2 linked regions of the Oryzias latipes genome follow. The protein of the gene in region 2 interacts with the protein of the main gene of each other region in a pairwise test. Links are inferred from orthologs where the notes say so. Each region holds a gene or a part of one and is shown on either strand. Other genes may lie near its edges.

Region 1 (11,863 bases), on a different chromosome or scaffold from region 2:
ACCTGCACTTCCTGCCGTTCTGAGGAAGTTTGTTCCACATAAGCGACTCTGCTTTGCTTAAACGATTTAACATAAATACAAAGCTGCAGAAGACGGAAAATCCTGACAGCCTTCATGTTAAAATGTGGATTTCTGTGATTGAAATTCAGGTTTAATTGGTTTATAAATATATAAAAAAGCTTTTTTTTCTGCTTCCCTTCAGAGACAGGACTGACGCTTTCAGCCAGAGGAGGCCGCCAATGTGGTCGAGGTCTGACTGTCAGACGGTGAAAACACAGAAACGCTGTACAATCCCTCATTGAGGTTAGAATACATGTCGCCATAGAGGGCAAATCAGCGAAGAAAACGTGAAGTAGTTTAAAAAAAACAGGGTTCAGAGAATGAAGTCTTAAAGCACTAAATCAAAAGGCTGCATGGATGTGGGCCAAGCTGGTGAAAATATAAAAAACAGTGAAAATAGTTACAATAAGAAGGAAATTAAATTCAAAGCTAACAGGAAGAGAAGGGGGAAAAGGTTTTCCTCCTTTAGTTTCTTATGTTAACTTTCTGTTTAGATTTTTGGAAACCCCCTCTTCACATCTCAAACACAATTCACAAACAGGTTTGGAAAATTCAGATTTTCCGACACAAAAGGAGGTCAAAAACATTTTGAAAGGGAAAGCCCTGTCTTTTACGACCACCTGAAACAGGACTGTTCACTTTGCATTTGTGTTTTTAATGTCCAACATGACCGCAAAGAAAATCTTCCTTCATGAAATGTTAATTTTTATAAACGTATTGCCTTTAGTGTTGATTGGATCAGGATATTGAACTTCCTAAAGAACTTCTTTCCAAAAGAATTTCCCCATCGTGGGATAAATGGTGTCTTATCCACTCTAATCTAACTCGTGACACTTGTTTTAATGTTGAACTTTATGCTCCCCAAACAAGTTGTGGAAAAACTATGTATTCAGTTGACTCTTTCTATAGAAACACAAAATAAAAGGTAAAAAACCAAAGGAACGTTGTTTATTTGGTAAACTCTTGTATTCTGACTAAGTGAAATTTAAACAAAACACCGCTGAGTATTCAGTTTCAAAGAATTGGTGTGATCTGGAGTCCTGTACGTGCTTATTTATCATTCTGTTTAAATAATCTTCAATGAGTTTGTATATTTTTTATAAAGTCTACTCTGTCTCTAAAGTCCATGCCGTCCCTAATGGTTTGACTGCAACGACTACATGCCTACTTAAATAAAAAAAAAGTAACGCAAAACCTTTTTTTTAAACAATACAAAGCATACTAAATGCAGTTTTTAAAATATATATATCTATACTTCAATGCAGAATAACTAAAGTATTTTGCAACAAAACAAAAAAAAGTAACAGGTTGGCCACTTCTGCAATATTAGCAAATTGTTGGTTAGACGAATGCAAAACAATTGGTCATATCTGGAACGTTAGAATTCACTATGCTAATGCGAGAAAACAAATAAACAGTATAAAGAAAATAAGAAATATTTTTTTAGTATTGTAATATCCATACCCAATGCATTGTGGGAAGTAATGTTTTGTGTTTTCATGGTTTGCACCACAAGTTAATGGGTTCTGGAAGTGGTAATACAGCACTGAAACCGGTCTGTTAAATGGTTCGTACCGCGGACATTGGACTGTGCCATTTATGTTGTGCCTCCTGTACTTCTGGCTGCTCTGGGTCATGAGGTACATGGGGCTCGATTTAGCTCATCATTCTGCTATCTAGTGCGGTTTAAGCAGTAGATGCATTTTGTTAGTCTCAGCATAGTTAGCTGAGTTCTGCCTCATCTCATTCCTAACGTGTATCTAGCCATTGCGGCAGCTACATTTGTGTCAGAAGTGGGATTTCCACTGTCAGAAAACCACCATAATAGAATGAAACTCAACAATGCTAACTAGCAGGGTACTAGCAAACACTGCCTTAACCACACTAAAAGACAGAATGTTGAGCTGACTTGTCCTCCATACAACCCTGAGCAACCAGACGTACAGGAGGCACAACGGAAATGGCGCAGTCCAACGTCCTCAGTACAAACAATTTATTATAAATAATCAGGCACACACAACATTGCAATGACAGTGTGACGTCACCCTGTGAGAAACCCACTAAAATCTGGTACAAACCAAAACAAAACCGAACAAAGCATTACTTCCCACAATGCATTGGGCAGAGTCATTATGCCCTATTAGAACTAGCTATGCTAATCTGATGGTTTTAGTCCTTCCTGATACATTAGATATGCTAATTTGAAGAGAAAAGCTAACGATTAGCCACCTCTGCCATGTTAGCGATAGTAATGTGAGCACAAATGTATGCTAAAAATGAGTTTACATTTTTATAGTTTGAAATTTTAAGCAGTTTCCATTTAGAGCACACTGGATTCTTTTATAAATGACGTTTGCGTTGACTGCTAGCTCTCACACAACAAGAAGCTCTTTATTATTGTCTGAAGAAACCATCTAAACCTGCAGATAATGCTACGTAACAACACATTTTCCGTTTCACTTCCAAACCAGCTACAGAACACCTCCTAATTACAGAAAACATTCTCAGCTTTTTACTAGCAACACTTAACAGGTGCAAAGGCTACAATCTTTAACCGCAAGCTATATTTCAAAAGCTGTTAGGCTCGTATTACATCTGTAACAATACTAACCTGGTTTCACAGATGTTTACACACAAACCAAAGGTTTCTATTTCTGGTGAGAGTTAGTTTTCCTTCCAGATATCAGCATTAACAAAAGCGTATCTCCAAGAGACTTTAAAAAAAAACAGCTAAATTAACCTGATTCATGGTGTGTCTGCTAAACTGTAATGCTGTTACTAGTAATACTTGTTATGGAGGATAAACATGGTAACCGGTTACCAGCACTAACTTCTTCTGTTTAGCTTAATGTTGGAGCTGCATGAGAAAACAAACCAGTGATAATAATGTTTCATCAAACATCTGAAAGTTTTCAATTTTTATAACTTTTGTTTATTTTTATCTGTATGCCAATTCTGTTAGGACATGGCGTTTCCTGTATGTTTTTGGGCCATTTTTGGTACCTTTTATAAATTCTATGTTAAAAGACAAAACTTTACTCATAAACATTTTTTAAAACAATTTTTCAAAACAGTTTTTGTGTGAAAAGACCTGCTCCCCACATCACTAGTTCTACCATTATGGCTATAGGGGACGTCCGTTCAGCCTTCAGTACCAGAGTTACCACCGGTGAGACGAAATAACAGACGGACTACCGTAACTCTTTGACCATTTATGCAATGAACGTGATTCCAAGATAGGCGATAGGCTGAGAAAAGCGGCTATGTTTTGGCTCAAAGATGCTTTTCTCCGTCTCAGAGTTAGGTTACTTGAGTAAGCGGTTGAAGAGTTATGGTAGCTAAGTTAAAGAGCGCCAACACAGGAGCTAAAGCTCTGGTGTTAAAGGGTAATCAATCTTTGAAATATTTGTAGGAAAAGCTAAATAAAAATGTCAAGAATGGGCAATAAATAATCAAGGACTCTACAGTTTCCTCTAGACTTTAGTGTGTTTTCTGTAAAACTACACACACTGTGTTTAGAAGAGAACCTTTGTGAAAACAACGTTGTGCTCTTAAGCCAGGCAGCTTCACATAAGCAAACCATCTGCATCTGAAAGTCACATTTGGGGTGTTGGTTCCGGCAAATCCTGAATGGGCTTAACGACATTTCTGGAGCGCCTAGCCTGTTAGCTCATCCTGCATGCAAAAGCCACAGATTAGACAAATTGACGAGCACCAACTCCACAGAGTACAAACCAACAATGTAACTGAATACTATCTAAGTTACTTAGATAAGAACATAATCAAATCCAGCAGCCTGCTGAAGGCTGCTCGGTCTCGCCTGCTGGTTGGAAAAGCGCCTCTCCATCTGACCATGTTCACTTCGTTGAATGAATTTTCTAGATCTTCATCCAGTAAAAGCCGGCTGACCCTTTAAGAGGCGGCTAAATCTATAATACAAGGCAAACGGATGTCACAAAAAGTGACGAAAAGTTCACTTATTTATCCTGAAAACACTGACTTATTGGAGGTATGTCTTTGTTCCGGCCATGCACTCCTGGAACCCGAGTTTCCCCAGAGTCTGATCACTTTAGGTCTGGATTCATCTGGTTCATGCAGCTGAAGGTTTACACAGGTTCTAAAAGAAGCAGGATACGTTACAAGAACCGCTAAAAGTGGGTGAGACGTTCTCAACAGCAGAGGCTGCAGAGCTGCAGATCCTAGAGGGAATACAAGTCAAAGGAGCAAGAGAAGAAGGCTAGAAAGACCGCTGTGATGGTTGCTGGGAGTTTAAGAAACGGATAAGAAGGAAAGTCAAGGTAGAAAAGACCGTTTCCTCCTGGAAAGGGAAGAAGAGGACAAAAAAACAACAGAAGAAACTGTTATGCAGTTGATGGACAAGCAGGAGTTTGTGCTGGCTTCATCATAACAGAGCACGAACAGGTCACACAGACATGCACATACATAAACCCTGGGCCTCGTTTCTCCACAGCATCATTGGTGTCCAGTGCTGCCAGGTTGAGCCACGCCCTGTAAAGGATCTCTTCATCTCCTACAGACTTCTGCATCCATCTTTGTTAAAGTCTCCGTGTCAGGATTTTGTGTTGTCCGGCCGTTTTCCGTTTCAGTTTCTTGTGTGAAAGCAGAATCGCACAGAAGCACAGAAGAAGAATACAAAGAAGAGAAAGGGCGTGGTTTGTTTTGTAAATGCAGGTTGTCTTCTGGGTGTCTGGATTGAAAGGAGGCGAGCACCAGGTCGCCGACCGGACTTAATGAGGGAGCGGCACCAGGATATCCACATAGTTGATGGGGAAGAAGCCCGACTGGCCATTGATCATGCCCTCGTACCAGTTGTCGTCGATCTGATTGGTCAGGGTGATGATGTCACCCTCCTTGAAGCCCAACTCCCCCTCGTTTTCTGGCTCAAAGTCGTAGAGCGCTCGGCAACACGGCTGGTCCATGGGGGCTGCAAGAGAGTGAGAGTCAAAACCAATTCTGCTAGTGTAGAATTCATCCGTTCGTCCATCCATCCACCCATCCATCCATCCACCCATCCATCCATCCATCTATCCATCCATCCGTCCATCTATCCATCCATCCATTCATCCATCCATCCATCCATCCATCCACAGGTTTTCATTCTCTCATACGTGTTTAAACACCAATGGGTTTGGATTTAGACCCCCCCCCAACAATAGTTATAGAAGTTTTGCTTGCCGCTCTGAAGCGTCACAGGAAACACATCACCAATGATCTCAGAGAGGTTGCTGCTGATGAACATCGACCAAGGCAGAGAAATGGAACAATATTCACTGCGGCTGCGATATTCCAATAGTCTTAAAAAAGACTAATGGATCTTTCTGGCTCTAATGCCTCTAATCTGCTTAAAATAGAAAAGGTTTGCCGCTGTGTTCTGATCAGAGTAAGTGAGATGTCAGGGTTTAGAACTATCTCAGTCCAGAACACAGAGTTCTCAACAATTACTCAACAAATGGTTGCTATTTTGGTGTTTTTTGGAGAAGTCATGAATTGGTGTCGTTTCAGTCCCTATGCTGTCTCGGTTGAAGGTGACTGCACAGCCGGTGTGTGTTTCTCGCCATATTTCCTACCTGGTGATCTTCCGGGAGATTTGGCAGAGTGTATCCCCCCATTGTGGCTCTCGCTGGGGGGCAGCAGCTCCAGTGTCATTCTGGGTTTGGGACTGTACTCTTTCCTGGGTTTACTGGAAACTTCTTTTATCCTGGAAAGAAGCCAGAAGGAAGAGCTTTTTTCATTTGTGACCGCTCATTTCTGGCCCCAGCAGGCGGGCGGATCGATACCTGTCCTCCATCTTGCTGGAGAGCTGCTGCAGGATTTCGGCGGCTCGGCTGTGGTACTCCAACTGAGCCTGGACCAGCGCTGCCAGCTGGCTCACCTGCTCGATCTGCAACACACACAGGCATGTTTATCAGCTGCCTCTCATGCATGCTGGGCCTGGCCTCCTCCGCCTGGCAACCAAGCGCCTGTCTTTATTTTGTGGTTGCGGTTTTAATCAGGAGGGGGCTTTGGCTAAATATGTGTAACTATAGCAACAAGGGAAGCATTTGGGAAAGTAGAACAGGGCCAGATTTCTGGAGGACTGAATGAACAGGTTTATCCTCACGTCGCTCTCCAGCAGGTTGAACATGCTCTGCTCTGCGATCTCTTTGCTCTCGTCAAACTTCTCCAGCGCTTGTTTGATCTCCTCGTCCTGAACTTTTCCCTGACGTTTCTTCTTGTAGTCGAAGTCCAGGCGACGACCCTCCATCTTCTTCAAATGGTGCTGGATTGGATGGAAACATGTTTGGGATCAGAAAGGAAAACTAAGTCCTGACAGAGGGGACTCAAAGCTAAGTCATTTAGAAAAAACCGTACCTGGATCTCTTTCAGGTCTTTGTCGTGGAGGTTCTGCAGCGGGTCGATGAAGTTCTGTTTGACCTCCATGTCCAGAGCGTCCTTCACCTCCCCGAGCTCCTTTATCGACTCGCCTGCATCGATGAGAGCCATGCCTGAGGAGAGGAGGAGAGGGGATGAGAAACAGAGTCAGGAGGAACTTCCAGAGGAAGTTCTGATGAGGATCCAGATCATCATGTTCTGGTTTAATGCAGATAGACTGAAGTGCACCAGACATACAGAGGGCAGGTCCAGGGGGCTTTTGATGCTGATGGACATTTTTAGAAATGAAACTTTAACCAACCGTTCTTCGGGATCTGCTTGCATCAGGATGAGAAGGTTTCATGATGGCTTCTCTCTGAATGCAGGTTTATATGTTTGGAACATCTAAGTGTTGAATAGGAAATAGACCTGAACTTTGGTGTCTGCAGCTGCATAGATATTTGTGAAGCTAATCCACCCATTGAAGTCAATCGCAGACCGCATTGGTGGACGTCCACATGTGGATTTAGCAGTATGAAGCTACTGTAGCTTTAGTCTAACTTTAAGAAATGATGTTAAAGCTGAAATAAAATGTATATCCATTTGTCGTCAATCGTCTCTTTTGATTGATCTGAATGGATGAAGGCTCTGAACCTGAACAACATCTGCAGAACCTCTTCATCCACACAAACACACTAGTTCACAGACCGACGAACGAGGGATGGCGTTGATGGGTGGTACCTTCATTTATCCAGGTAGACGTTTAAGAACAAGTTCATGACCCTGCCAAGAGGCTACAGATACAACCCAAGTCCCTGGATGTTCAGTTTGTTTCCTATTGGAAACAGGATTTAACCCTCTGACATCACAGATGTCACTGGTGACACCTAAAAAACACACGCTCTTTGTCATTCTGTAAGTCTTCCACTGTTTTATGCGATCAACACTTTGCTGATTTTCTCCACAACAGAATCCGCTGGAATTACGTTAATTATAATTAAAATTATTGAAGAGTTACAGTAGTCCAAAGAATGCCAACACTGGAGCTAAAGGGTTAAAACCCTTTGGAGCCACAGATCCTCCTTTCAGGACCTGGTGAGTCAAGACCTGGAGACCTGGGAGTGAAATCTGAGATTCAGGACTGTTTAGCCAACTCCTGCTGACAGGTGGAAAGTCTCAGAGGCACAGGAGCTCCTGCCAAAACAAACAGGTTTTTGTTACAATGTTGAGGAAGGAGCGGACGATGTGCCAAAAGACACGTCACCAGACCAATGAAAGCTTTGGAAAAACACAGAGCCGAGCTTTTTCGTTCCTGACTTGTTTGAATAGCTGGAGTAGACAGGACTTTAGTTTACTCTGTTCTGAAGGATAAATATTTTCTCAACACCGCCACAGCCACAGCCACAGCCACCGCTCCATAGCATCATCAGGTGCCAACGGTGTGTCGATATTTGGGATTCTGCAGTTAGTCTGGTGTTACAAATCTGTATTTTTGATATTTGAAGGTCATGGGGAGTACAGAAGAACTCCACTGAACACATAACATTCCAGGAACATTCCCACTCACCAAAACTGGACTCTTCTCCCAGCTCTCGTCCAAACTTCAACATGGCGTCCCCCAGGATGGTCTCAGCTTGCGGGTAGCCCGGCCCCTTGTCCTGGCCGCGGATCTTGGACATGGTGTTGATCATGCTCAGCTTGGCTCTGGATGCTGAGGGGAATCAGGAGCGTCAGTGTTTGTGCTGTGGTCGGGGAAGGTGGGGGGGTGTTTGGTACCTGGGTTGGGCTGAAGGTACTCTGTGGTTTTGGTCATGATGTCCAGCACCGCTCTGCTGGTGATGTCCACCTTCTGTGGAGCAACAAGAAAAACAACATTTCAGACAAAAAGGAGCAGCATGAACGTAGAAACATTTCAAGCTGTTTGTTTTGTAGCTGGATGCTCAGATGATCCACAGATTCCTTAACCCTTAAAATGCTTTTCTTGCATTCTTTAGTGCTATAGATAATTCCTAACAAATGAGACTCATGTAAAGTAGATAAAAGACAAACAGAAGAACCTTCTCCATCTCTTTGAAGTCATCATCTAGCTTGGTTCCTTCGGCTCCTCCAACCTTCTCACTGACTTTCTGTGAGGAGACAGACAGAGAAAGGGTTCATGATGTCTGCCTTCAAGCTCTTCATCGTCTGGGTGCAGAAACACTCGCCGGCGTTGACAGTCTTTCATGAAAAGTTAAAGTGAGACGTGCTGCTTCTGCCGCTGTGAGATTAAAGCAGAGATGAAAAATAGAATTCTCAAAGGAGGAAATGAAATAACAAGCAGCTTGTGGTCTTTGGAAGTGTTATTAGTTCTGTTTGACTGTCAAGAACCTCGGCGACCACATTTATGATGAAGTGGAAACGAAAACAAAAAGAAAATTCATATTAAACTTCAAGGAAAAGAAAAGGGGTCAACCTTAAACCATGAAATGAAATAAAAAGTTTCCTCTTTTTAGCACCAACAGGAACAAAGTGAGTCAGAAAGCCTTTTTTTCCTGGAGGTGTAAAGCGAGCAGCCTGAACATCTCAGACTCTTGGATGAGGTGAAGCCGTCTGAACTGGAGCAGCAGATCCGCCTTTATGCCTTTAACGTCATCCTTTTATGTCTGTCACAATAAAGCCGCTCCATCACGCCGTCCTAAAAGGCCGACTCATTCAAGAGTCTGTTTCCACTTTCAGTAGATGTCTGAGTGACGCAGACAAAAGCATTTCTCTGCTGCTATGAGTCCATGAATGCACTCTAAATGTAAAACAGGATTTCATTCACATACAGTCCCATTAATAGACCCCCCCCCCCCCCAGCGGTGGTTCATCTCCAGCTGGTGACCTTCCAAACCAAACTATCCACGGAAACCAACCGCTGTGGATCCAACAACAACCAGAACTTCCAGTGTGAAACTGTCCTGAGAGCCCCAGGTTCTTTTCTCACAGACTCTGACCCCCAAAGACTAAACTCTTACTGTTATGAAAGTCACTTCTAAAGAAAGTTTTAACTTTGAGAACACCAGAGGACTCCAACAAAACGCTTTTGGACAGTAGCTACTTCATGAATCCTGTCAGCGGATTACAGTTGTTGATCAGTAATACTTTAGTCCCAGCTGCTCCCACAGGTGGATGTGAGCTGTAGGTGAGTAAAAATGGTCAAACAGGTGATCCAGTAGAGCCAAAATGCTCATGCACATGTTTGCTACAGGCATGCTGCAGGCAACAGGTCATAGTGAATACTCATACGACACGTAAGGGTGAGTAAGGGGGAAGTGGGTGAGGCAGTTTTCAAATCCTGTGCACTGCGCAAGGAGCCAATTAGTCCTAGTCACGTGATTTACTACACTCCTTATGTGCAGCCTGACTGGTAGAATTGCAAACGTTAGTCAGAGTGTAGATTGTGTGGAAATCCTACAAACGTCCACTTACGTATCACATGAACTCAGTGTGTTTGACATTTTTGCATGGTCAGTAAGAAGCCAACACTTGCTCCTAACTAACGACTTACAACAGCGTATCACAGCTTCATCTGTACGTCATAAGTGTGTGCAACTCCTTCAGAATACTCCACGATACACGTACCACACGCACGGCAATGGTGCGTTCCATTTTCATGACATTCCTTGCGGTGGCCATTCATGTTTTAGGGGAACTGCCCTCCCCTTAGGATGCGACTACTCTTCTCTATGACCCTCCACGGGCCCACAGAACCCAACCCTATGCTTCAATAGAGAAATAAACACCTGTTAGTCAGAAGAACTATTCTTCCTCTGATGCCTTTTTTGCCATCATAGATCATAGAAACCTGTTTACATGTGAACACAAGAGTTTTGAACATGGAAGTCTGAACATTGCTTGAAGAATTAATAAGCAGGATGCAGTTATCTGGATATTATTTAAAATATTTTCATAGCTCGTGATGCATCCGTTTAAAAAAAAAATCTGAATATGCCATAAATACAAAGTGTATAATCTGAGACCATCTGTGATCTCAAGCTAAACCTCAGCAGAATCCCTACGACTTCATTCAGTGAAGTCATGTGGACCCGGTTCTCAGCAGTCCTCACTCATCTACACAAACACTTAGCCGTCCAGACCCGAGCTTCAGTGAGACACCGAGGACAACCTGTGATTACTGCAGCCTGATGGAGGGAAATGAGACGGCGACGCCCGGATGTTCTCCACACAAAGATTAAAAAAAAATTCTAAACAATGTAAAAGCACAGCGGGAAGGAAATGTGTGAGGAGCAGACAGTTGGTAAGGATGATGCAGTTACCATGGAAACAATGATCTGAGTGCACCCTCAGACGAACACAACAAACAAGTGTGTAAGGACACACCTGCAATCCTTAGATGGGGGTGGGGGGTGTAGTCTAACACCCTTACATAACCCCCCCCAACTCCCATTTGGACCAGCTTTTCAACCCGTTTGCTTCATTCATGATTATATTTTCATCCACAGATGCTGATTCTGTCAGTGAACACCAACCCATCACGTCTGCTGAGGACCGCCGTCCAATCACAACGCGGCATGTCTGCATTTTGTACTTGTGTTTGTTTCAAGTTCAGCTGGGAGACAAACAGTCCAAATGTTCCCGTTCCTTTGGTTCTCTTTCTGGACCAGACTGTCCAACAGTTCCCACAGCTCCTCATTTGGACCTGATAGTCCATTGAATTCCTTCATCAGGCGAACCCTGATAAGCACTTTATCACTACACCACGTAAAACGACGACAACACTTCAAACATCTATGGTGCCAAGTCCTTCTCAGGATCTTCAAAGTGAACTTTCCAGGTTCTGCCTTCACCCTTTAACACCAACGTTCTAGTGTTGACGTTCTTTGAATTATGGTAACTCTTCAACCGTTTATGCAACTAATGTAATTCCAACGGATTCTGAAGCAGAGAAAAGCAGATGTGCTAACGTAAAGTTACAATTATGGGAATAGCATAAATGATCAAATAGTCATGGTAGTTTGAGGTCTGTGTGTAATTTTTGTGACATTTCCGGTATTAACCCTTTATCACTGGAGTTTAAGCTCCAGTGAAGCTCCTGCCGATGTTCGCATGACTTTTCGGTATTGGTCAGATTTAAAAAAATCTACCAATATTCTTCTGACTGTTTTCAGAAATACCTTATTTTTGAAATGTATATTTGTTCCTAATAGATTGGGAAGCTTTTGTTTACAGTCATAGTCAGTAATGTTATTTTTAATGGGAATAGATGTTGTTCCTAATGGATCAATGGGGAGCTTCTGGTTTACAGTTATGTCCAATATTCAATAAATTGTCTGAATACTAAAAGATATATTTCTATGACAGTTTTAAAGTGATACTTGTTCCTATGAGATCTGTTACTGTATGTTCAAAAGGTCAAGTTTGATGGAATTGTCCTGTAAAAGAAAAGTTT
Region 2 (11,863 bases):
CTAAAAATCAAATCAGACACCAACTTCAGGCTCGTACAGACCAGCACATGAAAATATTGTCTGACATTAAATCGATCTGTGGCCTGAAAGAGATTGGGAAGCCCTGATTCCAATGACTGCTTTGACAGAGTGCAGATGTACACATACCTTTACAGACCCCTCTATTAATACTAGGTGAACTGTCCAGGGACTTGATGATGTCCTTGTTTGCTGACGGGGGTGTCTGTCTCGTCTCCTGGACGCGACATTCTTTAGCTGAGCAGAAACATTTGACATTTTTTAAGCCCAAAAAGAAGAGCAAGTCTTTTGAATTTGTGCTCAAAGTGTTGGGAAACTTTGATCCTACCATCTCCTGTTGGAGACGTGACCATACTTGGGGTGGGGCTAGCAGTTGTGGGTGAAGAGGCGGATGTCAGCGCTTCAGTCTGGGGCGAGGGGAGGGAGGAGGAGCCGGGGGAGCTCCCCCCCATACTGTTTTGTCGGGGTGAACGAGGTCGGTGAGCTTAGAAAGAGATGGAACGTCAAATGTTTCTGTTGGAAATCAAACCTGCGCCTACAAACCACAACCAAGAGCACCAAAGTCTTTACGAATGTTTGAGGGTTTTTTAAACTCCATCATATTACATACAGCTAGAAATCAAAAAATGTTTACTTTATGGTGGTACTAAATCTATGCACAGTGTTTAAAACTGTTTTTTAGTGTTTTTTTTTGTTGTTTTATTACTACAACGGTTGTTTTTGTGTGTACGTTTACTTATCTATTTATTTTGTCTAATTTAAATTTCACCTTGTCGTGCAGATATTATTCTGTTTGTTTTTAATGTTTGTACTCTTAATCCTGTAAAAATACTGGTCACTCTACTAGTCACTTCACTTTATTAGTCACTTTACTTTTGCTTGAATGTCACTTTTGCTGTTTTTGGATGTCTGTTTTTTTGCTGCTGCAGAAAAAAAATAATTTCCCTATCGTGGGATTATTAAAGTCTATCTAATCTAATCTAATCTACCGTAACCTAAAATGGTTCATTCACCCATGTTTCAACACGACACGCCCCGTCACAAAACTCCATATATGGACAATGAAAACCTTCATTGGGTCGGTAAATAAAGTCGGTTAATAGAGTTCTGTCAGAGGAAGGACCAGCATGCCTTTCAGTCGTCTCTCGTGGTGTAATGCAATGTTTGATCAGGGTTTGTGGAGTCGACCACAAAAACACTGCAGCTGCGTAACTGCAGCTCCACAGATAAACTGCAGCTGTCATGAATGTCTTGGTCTGATAAGCTGAGGGCAGCTAATCGGAAGTTAACTGATGTGTCAACTGATTACCTCCAGTCCATTTTTAATGCCTAGCATTTAAATATATTCATTTTTACTTGATTTACTGACAAAAGAAAGAAGAAGAAGAAAAAAAAGCATATAAAGCAATTTATGTTTGTCTAAACCTTGTCCCCAATTAAGGAAATCTGCTTTGATAACAAAAGAAAATAAATATTTCAGCTAATTTAAAAGTTAAAAATCAATTTCAAAAACAAAATATTTACCTCCACTGACTACCGAGGACCAGGTTCCTTCAGAAGAGTTGTTCCTGTTGGGTGGACCGCTTGGCGCCTCTCCTGGTGAATTGTGGGAAATCAAGTCCACTCCGGGGGGCATTCCACTGATTCGAGAGGGGGGCACTCTGTGAGAACGAGGGGTGCGCTGGGATTTTGGAGACATCCTGGGAGGGCCTGCAGATAAAGTAAGCATGCCTTCATAAGCAGACAGTGAGAAGTATAAATGTTATTTTGATCATTGTAAAAGTTTATTTCAATAACAGTAACAGTTAAACCCCAACGGTATGCAGCTTTTGAATCTTAAGGATGCGTTTCAGTGTCACTTTTAAAGTGGTGAAATGGATGTTAATAAACAGAAACTGATCTTGTGATAATTGAAAAACCAAAAGACACTTCAAATCAAAGGAGGACAGACACAGAAAATGGGGAAAAAAAGTGAGACAAAATATTGGACTAAAAAAAGAAAAAGACAGTAATGCTTTAAGAATGGGGCAAATTTTATACTTAAATCTTTTTATTTAGCTCACAGGATTCAGTATCAAATAAACGAAAGTCTAAACTGTTATACATTGTTGTATCGAGTGCATGTTCTCCATTGCCTTTTGTGTATTCTTTTAAATTTGTATGTATTATTTATGAAGTTAGAAGCATCAAGCTCTAAATTATTCATCCCACCATTTCTAAACAGTGATTATGAGATGCAGCTGCTCAAGGTCATTTGGTCCAAACACTGTCCTGTTACCAGATTACATCTGTGGAACCAATGTAAGGACTGAAATATTTCCCAGTTTACTTCGGTTTCCATGGTGAGTTACTGCCTGTATCCTGCTGACTTATTCCACAGCTTTCAAGAAAACATAGAAAATCGGCCATTTATTAGTAAAATAAATGACAATTGAGGTTCCTTCTCAAGGTTATGAACATCTTTCAAAAACTGGATCCAAGATGGTAAGAAAAGTTTAAAAGTGCGACAGAGTGTTAAATTTGGATCAAACCAAAACTATATTGAGGTCTGAGAAGAACATGTTGACTTTGACTAGTCTGACAGTCAGACACATTTCCAATGTACGCCAGGAGTGCAAATGAGTAGCTAGTGATGGTCTTGTAGAGACATTTTTGGGGGGGGGGGGGGGGGGGGGGGGGGGGGAATGGAAAAAATATTTTTTAAATATAAAAATGTAATGCCAAAGCTTATTAAATTTCCATCTTCATAGACATTTTCAATCCAGTGACCTGCAAATGCAGAAACAAAGTAAACAAAAACTACTAATAATGGACTTTCAAACTTCTGAAAGTATCATTTTAGTGTTAAATATCTCACTGACAACCTCACGAGGCTGTACAGTAGTGGGTTTTATCGATTAAAAGTCTGATAAGTGAGCCCTGCTTTGCTGCAAACAAGGTGAGAAACTGGTGACTTTGCATTTTGCACCTTTGTTAGGCAGAAAGCACAGAAACAGCACAACACCTTGATGCACCCACATGCCAAGATGAAACTGCCTGTATGACTGACAAAGGGTCAGCCTTAAGCACTTCCAATTGGATTCATTCGGTAGGGCGTAAAGCAAACACAGGTAAACACTTTTTTTTGGGTTAATCTGTCAAAAATCTGACCCCAAATCAGTCTGAGAAAGCAATTTCACCACTTCTGTTTGACATTAGACCTGGGCAAATGTGTTTATGAAAGTAGTTTTTCCACTGTATTTATTCCTTTTTGTAACCGTTCTGTTGTTTTTTTAGAGCGTGACAACTTCAATCCCTCAACTTTCATGGAGTCTTTGCCCAGGTCTGCTCCACAATCATGTGGATACCTTCTGAAGACATGCGTTTGGGCAGAGTGGAGGCTGGCGACGTGGGCCCATGGTGAGAAAAGGAGGATGAAGAGGAAGAATAGGAGGGATGGGACGAATGAGAGGAAGGCCTGGAAGGTCGAGAGGGGGGTCTGGAGGGTGGTCTTGTGGGCGTGGTCGCCCGAGGAGGCAGAGAGGAGGGGCCAGACTGGTAACGAGAGGGGGGACGAGAGGAAGGAGACGGACAGGGTGAGGGCCAATGGGATGAACCTAAAAGAGGCAAGGACAAATGATCAAGGATGACGAACTAGCAAAAGTGGAGGCGGAGAAAGAAACAAAAAAGGTATAGCAGTAATAGAAAAAGGGAGGGTTGGCACAACTAAAGCAGAATAACATGAAATGTTTTTTCTTAAAACATTAAAGATCTGAAATAATAACTGTTATTCTTCAAAGGCTACACAAAAAAGGATAGAAAAATGACAATGTAATAAATAAGAGGTGGCCACATTTACGTCACTCCATAGAAAACATTTTTAGCATCAACTAAGAGGTTTTTTTTTTTAATAGTGTAAAAAGTAACCCCTGAACTGCAAGTTCTGCAATAAACATACCTCCGTTGACCACTCTCTGGTCTGTCCCAGAGTTGGGACTGTAGTCGTGGGGTCCCGGCCGAGGAGCTGAAGGTCCAACAGAACCTTGACCCAGACGAGGAGAGTTCTGTCGCCCTGTGCTCCATGACAATGGCTCCCTGTTCCTCTGACCTGGTGGAACGTACTTGTTCTCTCTGCATTTAGATACAAAAAGACAAAACAAGAGGTTTCAGATAAACAGGAGAAGCGTTGATCTGCAGTACCCTCTCAGCTGCACACAGAGAGCCGTTTTAAAATTACAGCGTTGTGAACTATCTTAAAGATAACTTTGACAAAAACTGATTTAAAATTTTAAAGTGTGTTTTAAATTGTTTTACATTTTAGCACAAACAACAGAAAACAAATATAAGTATTAATTACAACCCAAAAAATATGAAAACTAAACCAAAACTAAACCAAAACTATAAAACAGGTCAGCTATTTTTATATTCAGGAAAAAAGAAAACTGTATTTACTTTATTTTGAACTAGAAGCACACGAAACTCCATAGATATATATACACACACACATATTTTTTTAATTACTTGTGGTTCAACAAGCAGCTGCTGGAAGTCCTGTCTGTGAAGGAACAGATTCATTACGACTTGGTTCAGTTCAGTGTAGTTTAATTTTTAGGAACTTTTCCTCCTAACAATGTATTCAGGGCCTACACAGCTTTATGGAAGTGCGTGTAGATTTAGATAACAGGCAGGTCTAGTTGCACAACCTCACATAGTTCACTTTGAGAAACTGTTCCTGCAAGGGTAAAAAAAAGATAAAAAGAACTAAAAACTATTGTACTTTTTTTTTAATCTACTGTTGAATTTCAATGGAACTTGAAGTATAGAACTACTGAAGAAGATTAACATAATAAAATCCCAACATGCTATTAACCCCCTACTAAACCTCAACGCAGAGATCTGTACATGATGATGGTTTGTGGCGTGCGTCTTGCTCTCACCTGCCAAGTGTGTGAGTCTCCCTGTCCCCTCGCACCACAGCAGTGTACTTTTCCTCCTCAGTGCGTTCATCGTTCTCCAACGCCACGCGGGCCTTGTACGAGGCGCTGGCCTCAATCTCCTCTGCCAGCTGAGCAGCACGAGCTTCTCTCTTCAGGAACTCTTCAGAGTTGTCACGCTCCAAGGGGAGTCTGGGAAACAAGATCGAATTGGTCGAGAACGGTGCACAATGTTGACAGCCAGGCTTATCTAGCATGCGTTTCCAGTGTTCCCCGCCTTGTGTTAGCAATATGTAGATGAAGAAGCAGGTCAGAGCTTACGTATATGTGGACAGGCTGCTGTCATACGTGGACAAGACTCCATACTTCTCCTCGTTGTACTTGAACATATCATTGGGATCCCATCCGTTTGACTGGTTTGAGGAGAAAGTAGAATTTCACAGAAAGGTCTAAATAAATTGCTAAAACTCTGATGTGTTTTTGTCAATATTGTGGCTAAAATAATAACTTTTGATGTACCACATGGGAGGCATCAACATTACTGTCATGCTTGTGTTCATTTTCTCACCACATCTGTATCTAGAGACTCGAGGCTGTCCGAATTGTGACCATCACCTCCATCCCAGGGCTCCAGGTCCTTCTCTTTGTGCTCTCCATTGATCCTTCCAGTGACGGCTGCATCTGTGAAGTTGTCTAATTAAAAGAAAAGGAAATCAATAGATAATACATGGCAGAGTAATTTAAGACATGGATGAATTCCAACAGTAAGTTAGGACTGAACTAATGTACTATAATCGGTAAATATTGAATCTACAGAAACATCTGCTCAGACGCTATAATATAAAATGCTGCTTAAAATTGGTTTATTTAATGTAGAACGGATTAAAGTGCAATCCAAGATAAAAACAAATAGTGAGAAGTCCCAGATTAGTTTGTGGCTTTAGAGTGTTTTGTTTTGAGCGTCAATAAAAACTGTCTTGTTTCATATTAAGTCTCATGAAGAATCTGTACTTGCATATGTATAAAATGCTTTGGCATTGACAGAGGTAACTCCAACTAATATCTACAAGGAAATGAGACTGAATCTTTGGGGTCATTCTTAGACCTGACACCGACAGTCATACAGCAGGGCTCCTTTCAAGCTTACTAGTTACTCTAGCACAACTAATCGGTCCAAGATTAAACTTCAATTTAAAGAATTCAGACAAATCAATAAGTAAATAAAAATCAAATTAATCCTAAATCCTTAATAGTTTGGTTAAAAGTGGTGCAGAGGAAATCCAACTTCAGCACCAGTAATAATGAAGATCAGTGAAAACATACAATTATGAAGGTCAGCAAAAATAAAAACAAGAAATTCTAATTCATCCAATATCATTTTTCGTTTAAAGCAGAAGGCAGCCTATAGCTGCCTATTACGTGACAAGGAAATATAGGCCTCTAAAAAGAATTTCCCTTCTTCTTTTACAAAAATAAGCATAAAAATAAAGTCACATTTGGTGACATGCTGACATGTTTGCTTACGTTTACAAGACAGCCAAAATAAAGTGAATCAGAGTTAACTGTAAATAAAAATACTTGAGAAAAGCCATAAAAAAGAAAATGATACATTACCTGTATCAGTGGACACTAAACCGGAGGAAAGAAAAGACAAATGACGTAAGAGCATGGACTCCCCCAGTGTTGTCAACAACAAAAAATAATTGGTGTATTAAAAAGGTCTACTTTAGTCTATCATTCTTCAAAACATGTTACAATAAACAACATAAAATAAGCGTATTTACTCTTTACTGAACGCTGAAAAACATGTTATACCTTTTCTAGCAAAATTGGGATCTACGTCTTTAAAAGTCACGACTACAACATCCGAAGCTTTGAAAATGATGCTTTCTACAATATCTTCTTTCCTGGGGCCGGTGGTGGGCTCTGGGCTTTTTCTGTGGGCTGCATCCAACACCAGGTCACACTGTGGGGAAAAACAAACAGTCGAATTCAGATAGATTATGAAAGAAAAGCCTGGAAAAACTGTCAAATAGTTTGGTAAAAGATAGTCAGTAAATATGCTCACACAGTCACTGCAATCATCTTTTGATCTATTGTAAAAGCGTTTCTGGTCATCTTTTGATTATCATTATGCCGTTTTAAGGTGAAATTCAAATTTAAAAAAATAAAGTGTCATTTTCTAGGACATAGTTTCTGAAGTTCATCAGAAATTCGCCTCTGAATTGTGAGCGGGGTTGCTGCTGAAGAAGTAAGCCAGCGCTCATTTTCCATGATTCATTTTGTTTAACTCCATCTCCCTCTAGCTTACAGCCCCAAGATAACATTAGCTGTGCCACAAAAATGGCGAGCAATATTGGAGCTATCGAGATGTACAGATGCCAGCTCGGACGAGGAAAACAAAGACGTAGATGGATCTCTTCGTCCTCCATCATGAGAGAAATGCCACAAGAATATGCCAAAAACAACAAAAACATCATTTTCATTGGAGTGGGTCTTTAATGGGTCAGTGCTGACAGGGTGGAGTACATTTTATTTCATTTTAATATAGGATAGAATAAATAAAAAACTAAACTAGTTGCATACTGAGGGAAGACTGAGACATCTGACCATAAACCAACAAGGGATTTGAACTCACAACTTGTCCTGCCTCCAAATGCTTACTGGCTTTGCCACTAAAAGTCATTACATGTAAATCTAATAAAGTTAGGCTTTTCTGCCCCCCCAGTTCATTTGAGAAATTTGTTCAAATCAAAGCGTATTTATTCTGTGTAGTTTTACATGCCTTGTTTTTTAAACGGCACACTGTGTTCTTTGTCCTGATTGGCTGCTGACCTTGTCAATCAATGTGTTCTGTGCAGTGTCTCTTGTACAGAATTAAACAGGAGAGATAAGTGCGAAAAAAATGTTTGTACACTTTTCTCAGATGGACACAAAGTGTGCAGTGGGGGGGGGTTTACAACCTCAAAAGATATTTATTCCTAACTTGCAGATTTTACCTACAATGGATTATTTTTAAAATGTAATTCTTGCACTAAACACGGAACACTTGCTGAGGGAAACTGGTGTGCACATATCCTGGGTCAGGGTAGTTATTCCAAAAGGTAAATCTGAAATTCTTGCAGATTATCCAGTCTTTGGTGTTTTTTACACCAAAGACTGGATTATATAATATCTATTATATTACAAACTCAGACTTTAAAAAAGAAAAAGGTCCATTCCACTATTATCTGCTCTACCATCTTTGATATTGTGCACAGTGCAGTCAGGCTGGTAGCATTTTACAAACATCAGCCAAACTCAGACTCGTTCATCTGACTGCCAACTAGAAATACAGGCATGATTTTTAAATTGGGAAAAAAATGTTCCACTGCTTCACAGTTCAGTGGCGGGGTAGCATTTAACTAAATCTGATATTGCAATGGTTTCTGGGATCCTTGCTTGTGTTCAGCCACTGACAAGTATCAATATTTCTTTCCTATTTGACTTATGCTTATTTTCATGAAACAATTTGGATCTGGTCATATAGGGAACCTGGAAAGACTTACTGATTTAAACACAAAGAGCAGCTCAGATTTAATCTGAGCTCCTATCGTTTTGAAAATCTTCCATTTTCCTAAACTTAGATTTGACCTTGAAACATCTTGTCCAATCAACGAGGTGTAACAAATGTGGCCTATCAATCCAGCTGGATTACTCTTCAACCCTCAGCTCAATTTATTTTTTTCTTTATCTGGTTTGCCGACTTTTCTTTTTTTGTGTCAACAGTGATGCTGTGAATCCTAAAAAGTAGCTTTCATGGGAATACTTCTAGCAAAAATGTGTCATCAGGAGAAGATATTAGTCAAACTTTCACCATATATTTTATATCCTTAAATGATGACATTGACCTTCATGAACATAACCCTAATCTAAGCAATAACACAGGATTTAGTCTAACTGTAATGTTAAACCACAGACCGGCTTCTGCAAGATATTAGTCCATTCCTTTTTATAGTGCATACATTTGGATTAAAAAAAACAACAACAACTAAATTCATCACATTTTCTACTTACTGCTGCATCTTATTTAACTTTTTATGTAGAAAATTGGCTTTTTTGTCAAAAAATAAATTGAAAAAGGAGCAGCACAAAAGTTGGCAATGGTATAAATTTAAATTGATAGGAAGCATTCAGATTGCTCCAATTTTTTTTTTTTTTTCAGTTCCTAAAGTCAAAAACCAAACATGGAGGAGCTGCACTCAGCTTCTATGCTCCACATATCTGGAAGAGATTTCCAGAAAGCCTTAGATCAGCTGAAACACTTAGTTTATTTAGATCCAGATAAAGACCCACCAGATCTCTGCTGCATTTGATTAGTTTGTATTCAAAAGTTGACATCCACACTGTTTATCCATGCTTCAGTTAAATGAAGTTATTTTTTAACTTTCTTCAAATCTTATTTTAATGATCTTTCTAAATATGTATTTGATTGCTTCTTTAAATGTTTTATGTTAAGCGCTTTGAGTTGTCTTTGCACATGAAATGTGCTAAACAAATAAACTTTCCTGGCCTAACAGTTACATAATATAAATGACTGAACATATCGTTGCAGTCTCAAAGTACCCCCCTACCCTCTAACCATTCTTTGCAGGGTTGACTCACCATCTAAAAAGAGCTAACAAAAACATCAACATTTAAACATTTCTGCAAATGTAAATGTCCAGTGCAGTAAAAAACAGAAAAAAGTCGAGCTTTATTCTTTTGACCCCGTGCGAAAAGTGGCATTAGCTTCTAAAAGCAAAGAATATTCAGATTCTTTTTTAAAGCTGCTATTTTTATTGACATAACACACATGCGGCCTTAGAGAGGCAGTAACATACTTAAGAAACATAAAATAAGGAAAAGTCTTTGATAATTGTACGGAAAAGTCTTTTCTGTTTAGCGTCATGCTTTACTAAATGAGCTGCAGTTTTTCATTGCTGCGGTAAAATTGTTCATCTGAACATGACATTTTTAAACAGATTGACCTTCAAAAGTTCACGAGTAATACACACAGAATTTATGGAAGGAATAATGCCCCCCCCCCCCCCCACTCTACTCTGGTATCTTAATCTGTTATTAGGTATGTGCAGAAAATAGTTACAATGGAACTTTATCATGTTTCCTGCTCTTTACTTACCTCTGGACCGTACGTCTTAAATACGCCTTCGTACACAGAACCGTTTTTCACCTCCAGCTCACACTTTGTCCCCTGCAAAAGGCAATTTTGTTAATGTATGCAGCAACTGTTTATTCAATTAATTTCATTATTTTAAACAAAACAAAAAAGGAACTTCAAATGGATTTGTCACAGAATAAACAAAAAAAAAAGGATCAATCTTATCTTTGTTTATATAATCAACTGTTTCCTTACAAACATTCCTAAGGTTTAAAAACACAGCATGAGTCCAAACAAAAAACTCCAACACTACTATTACTCTGTGAGCTACAGTAATATATTTGTGGTTATTTTCTTTACAATATGTTCGACTTGTGCTTTATTAGTAGGAAATATTAGAAACAAAATAGAAAGACAGTTATTGCAATTAACTCAGGATATTAAGGTCAACTTACCACCACTGAAGTCAAAACGTGGACCATCCTCATATTTGCATAAACACCACTGAAAATGACCTAAAAAAAGAAAGAAAGAAAGAAAGAAAGAAAGAAAGAAAGAAAGAAAGAAAGAAAGAAAGAAAGAAAGAAAGAAAGAAAGAAAGAAAGAAAGAAAATGCACATAATCTGCTGCTCACAATTTGCTGATAAATAAACAGTAGGTCACATCCGAATGACATCCACAAAACATCAGTTCACTTTGGAATAAAGCACAAAATATGCTTTTATTAACCTGAGCTTTTCTGACTCATGGCTACTTTTAAACACAAACTTGTGTTTCACCAATACATTCAAAACACTTGCAGGTAACAGATGCATGTTAACCAGCATGCATACATACATATTAATATGATTTTTTTAAAGAATTATTGGTAACTTACAGCTGCAGGACCTTTACCACCGTGTCTTCCCCTGAGGAAAAAAAATATTTCTATATTGCTGACAAACTTTCTTACAATTGATGCATTCTACAATAAAGATTGCATGTTCTGACTGGGTAAACTCTACAAAACAGCTCTGTACGTGAAAGAAAATGCCATGATCGTTGACACAATAAAATGTCCCATTTCAATCCAAAAAAAAAAAAAAAACATTTCTGGGTGGGCCATTCTAAACCGCCGGGGTTACATAGAGCATGCGAGGTGAAAGGGACGTTTAGATGCACATTTTATATGCACATTCATATGGTTTGTTTTTTTTAAATCCGTGTATAACTAGAAAAAGTCGAAACATTGCTGAACATTAGCGGTTAGGCCTCGCTAGCCGAGCTGCAAAACGTTTTACCTGATGACCAGAGCATGACGCAAGGCCCGCATTTCATTCTCTGACACGCACAAATTTTACCATTTAGCATGTATGTCATCTCTTCAAACTAAAACCGTCTAAAGTGATTATATGTATTTACTGAATAGAGGTCACAGATACCTTTAGTAAAATTTATTTTTACAATGAATTTTGATATTATTACTGACCTGCCCAGATTCTGTCTTCCACCGCCGCTTCCCCCGGCACCGGAGGCGGCCCCACCACCAGCGGTGTTACCACCGCCGGGCTTGCTGCGATTTCCACCGGTCTTCAATGACATAATGATCCCATAAAAAACAAAGTCTTAAAATGACAACTTTCAGACGTGAATTTCCTCGGTGACAGCTTGCCAACGTGCTAGCAGGCTAATGTCAACGTGAATGTTATGCTAAGACGCTTGCTAACTAACTCCGGTGCACAGTTGCTCCCTCAAATTAGCAATCTGTACAAATATTTTTAAAACAGGAAAAAAAAACAAGTTTTAAAAAGAC

What was found.
Region 1: the proteins of atxn2 (region 2) and endophilin-A1 interact in binary tests that used the Homo sapiens proteins (3 or more experiments, as listed by UniProt). The link is inferred for Oryzias latipes from reciprocal best matches to the Homo sapiens genes ATXN2 and SH3GL2.

The regions. Positions count from the first base shown.
Region 1 is NC_019876.2:2,732,895-2,744,757, reverse strand, and holds part of endophilin-A1, read right to left. Parts: intron 8,559-11,863; coding exon 8,490-8,558; intron 8,282-8,489; coding exon 8,209-8,281; intron 8,144-8,208; coding exon 8,000-8,143; intron 6,567-7,999; coding exon 6,433-6,566; intron 6,341-6,432; coding exon 6,182-6,340; intron 5,963-6,181; coding exon 5,859-5,962; intron 5,780-5,858; coding exon 5,649-5,779; intron 5,006-5,648; coding exon 4,809-5,005; 3' UTR 1-4,808. UniProt on the Homo sapiens protein: Implicated in synaptic vesicle endocytosis. May recruit other proteins to membranes with high curvature. Required for BDNF-dependent dendrite outgrowth.
Region 2 is NC_019867.2:7,489,083-7,500,945, forward strand, and holds part of atxn2 (ataxin-2), read right to left. Parts: 5' UTR 11,653-11,863; coding exon 11,540-11,652; intron 10,980-11,539; coding exon 10,949-10,979; intron 10,587-10,948; coding exon 10,527-10,586; intron 10,165-10,526; coding exon 10,093-10,164; intron 6,898-10,092; coding exon 6,747-6,897; intron 6,561-6,746; coding exon 6,546-6,560; intron 5,625-6,545; coding exon 5,500-5,624; intron 5,345-5,499; coding exon 5,253-5,344; intron 5,124-5,252; coding exon 4,935-5,123; intron 4,129-4,934; coding exon 3,956-4,128; intron 3,615-3,955; coding exon 3,366-3,614; intron 1,729-3,365; coding exon 1,543-1,728; intron 503-1,542; coding exon 347-502; intron 256-346; coding exon 148-255; intron 1-147. UniProt on the Homo sapiens protein: Involved in EGFR trafficking, acting as negative regulator of endocytic EGFR internalization at the plasma membrane.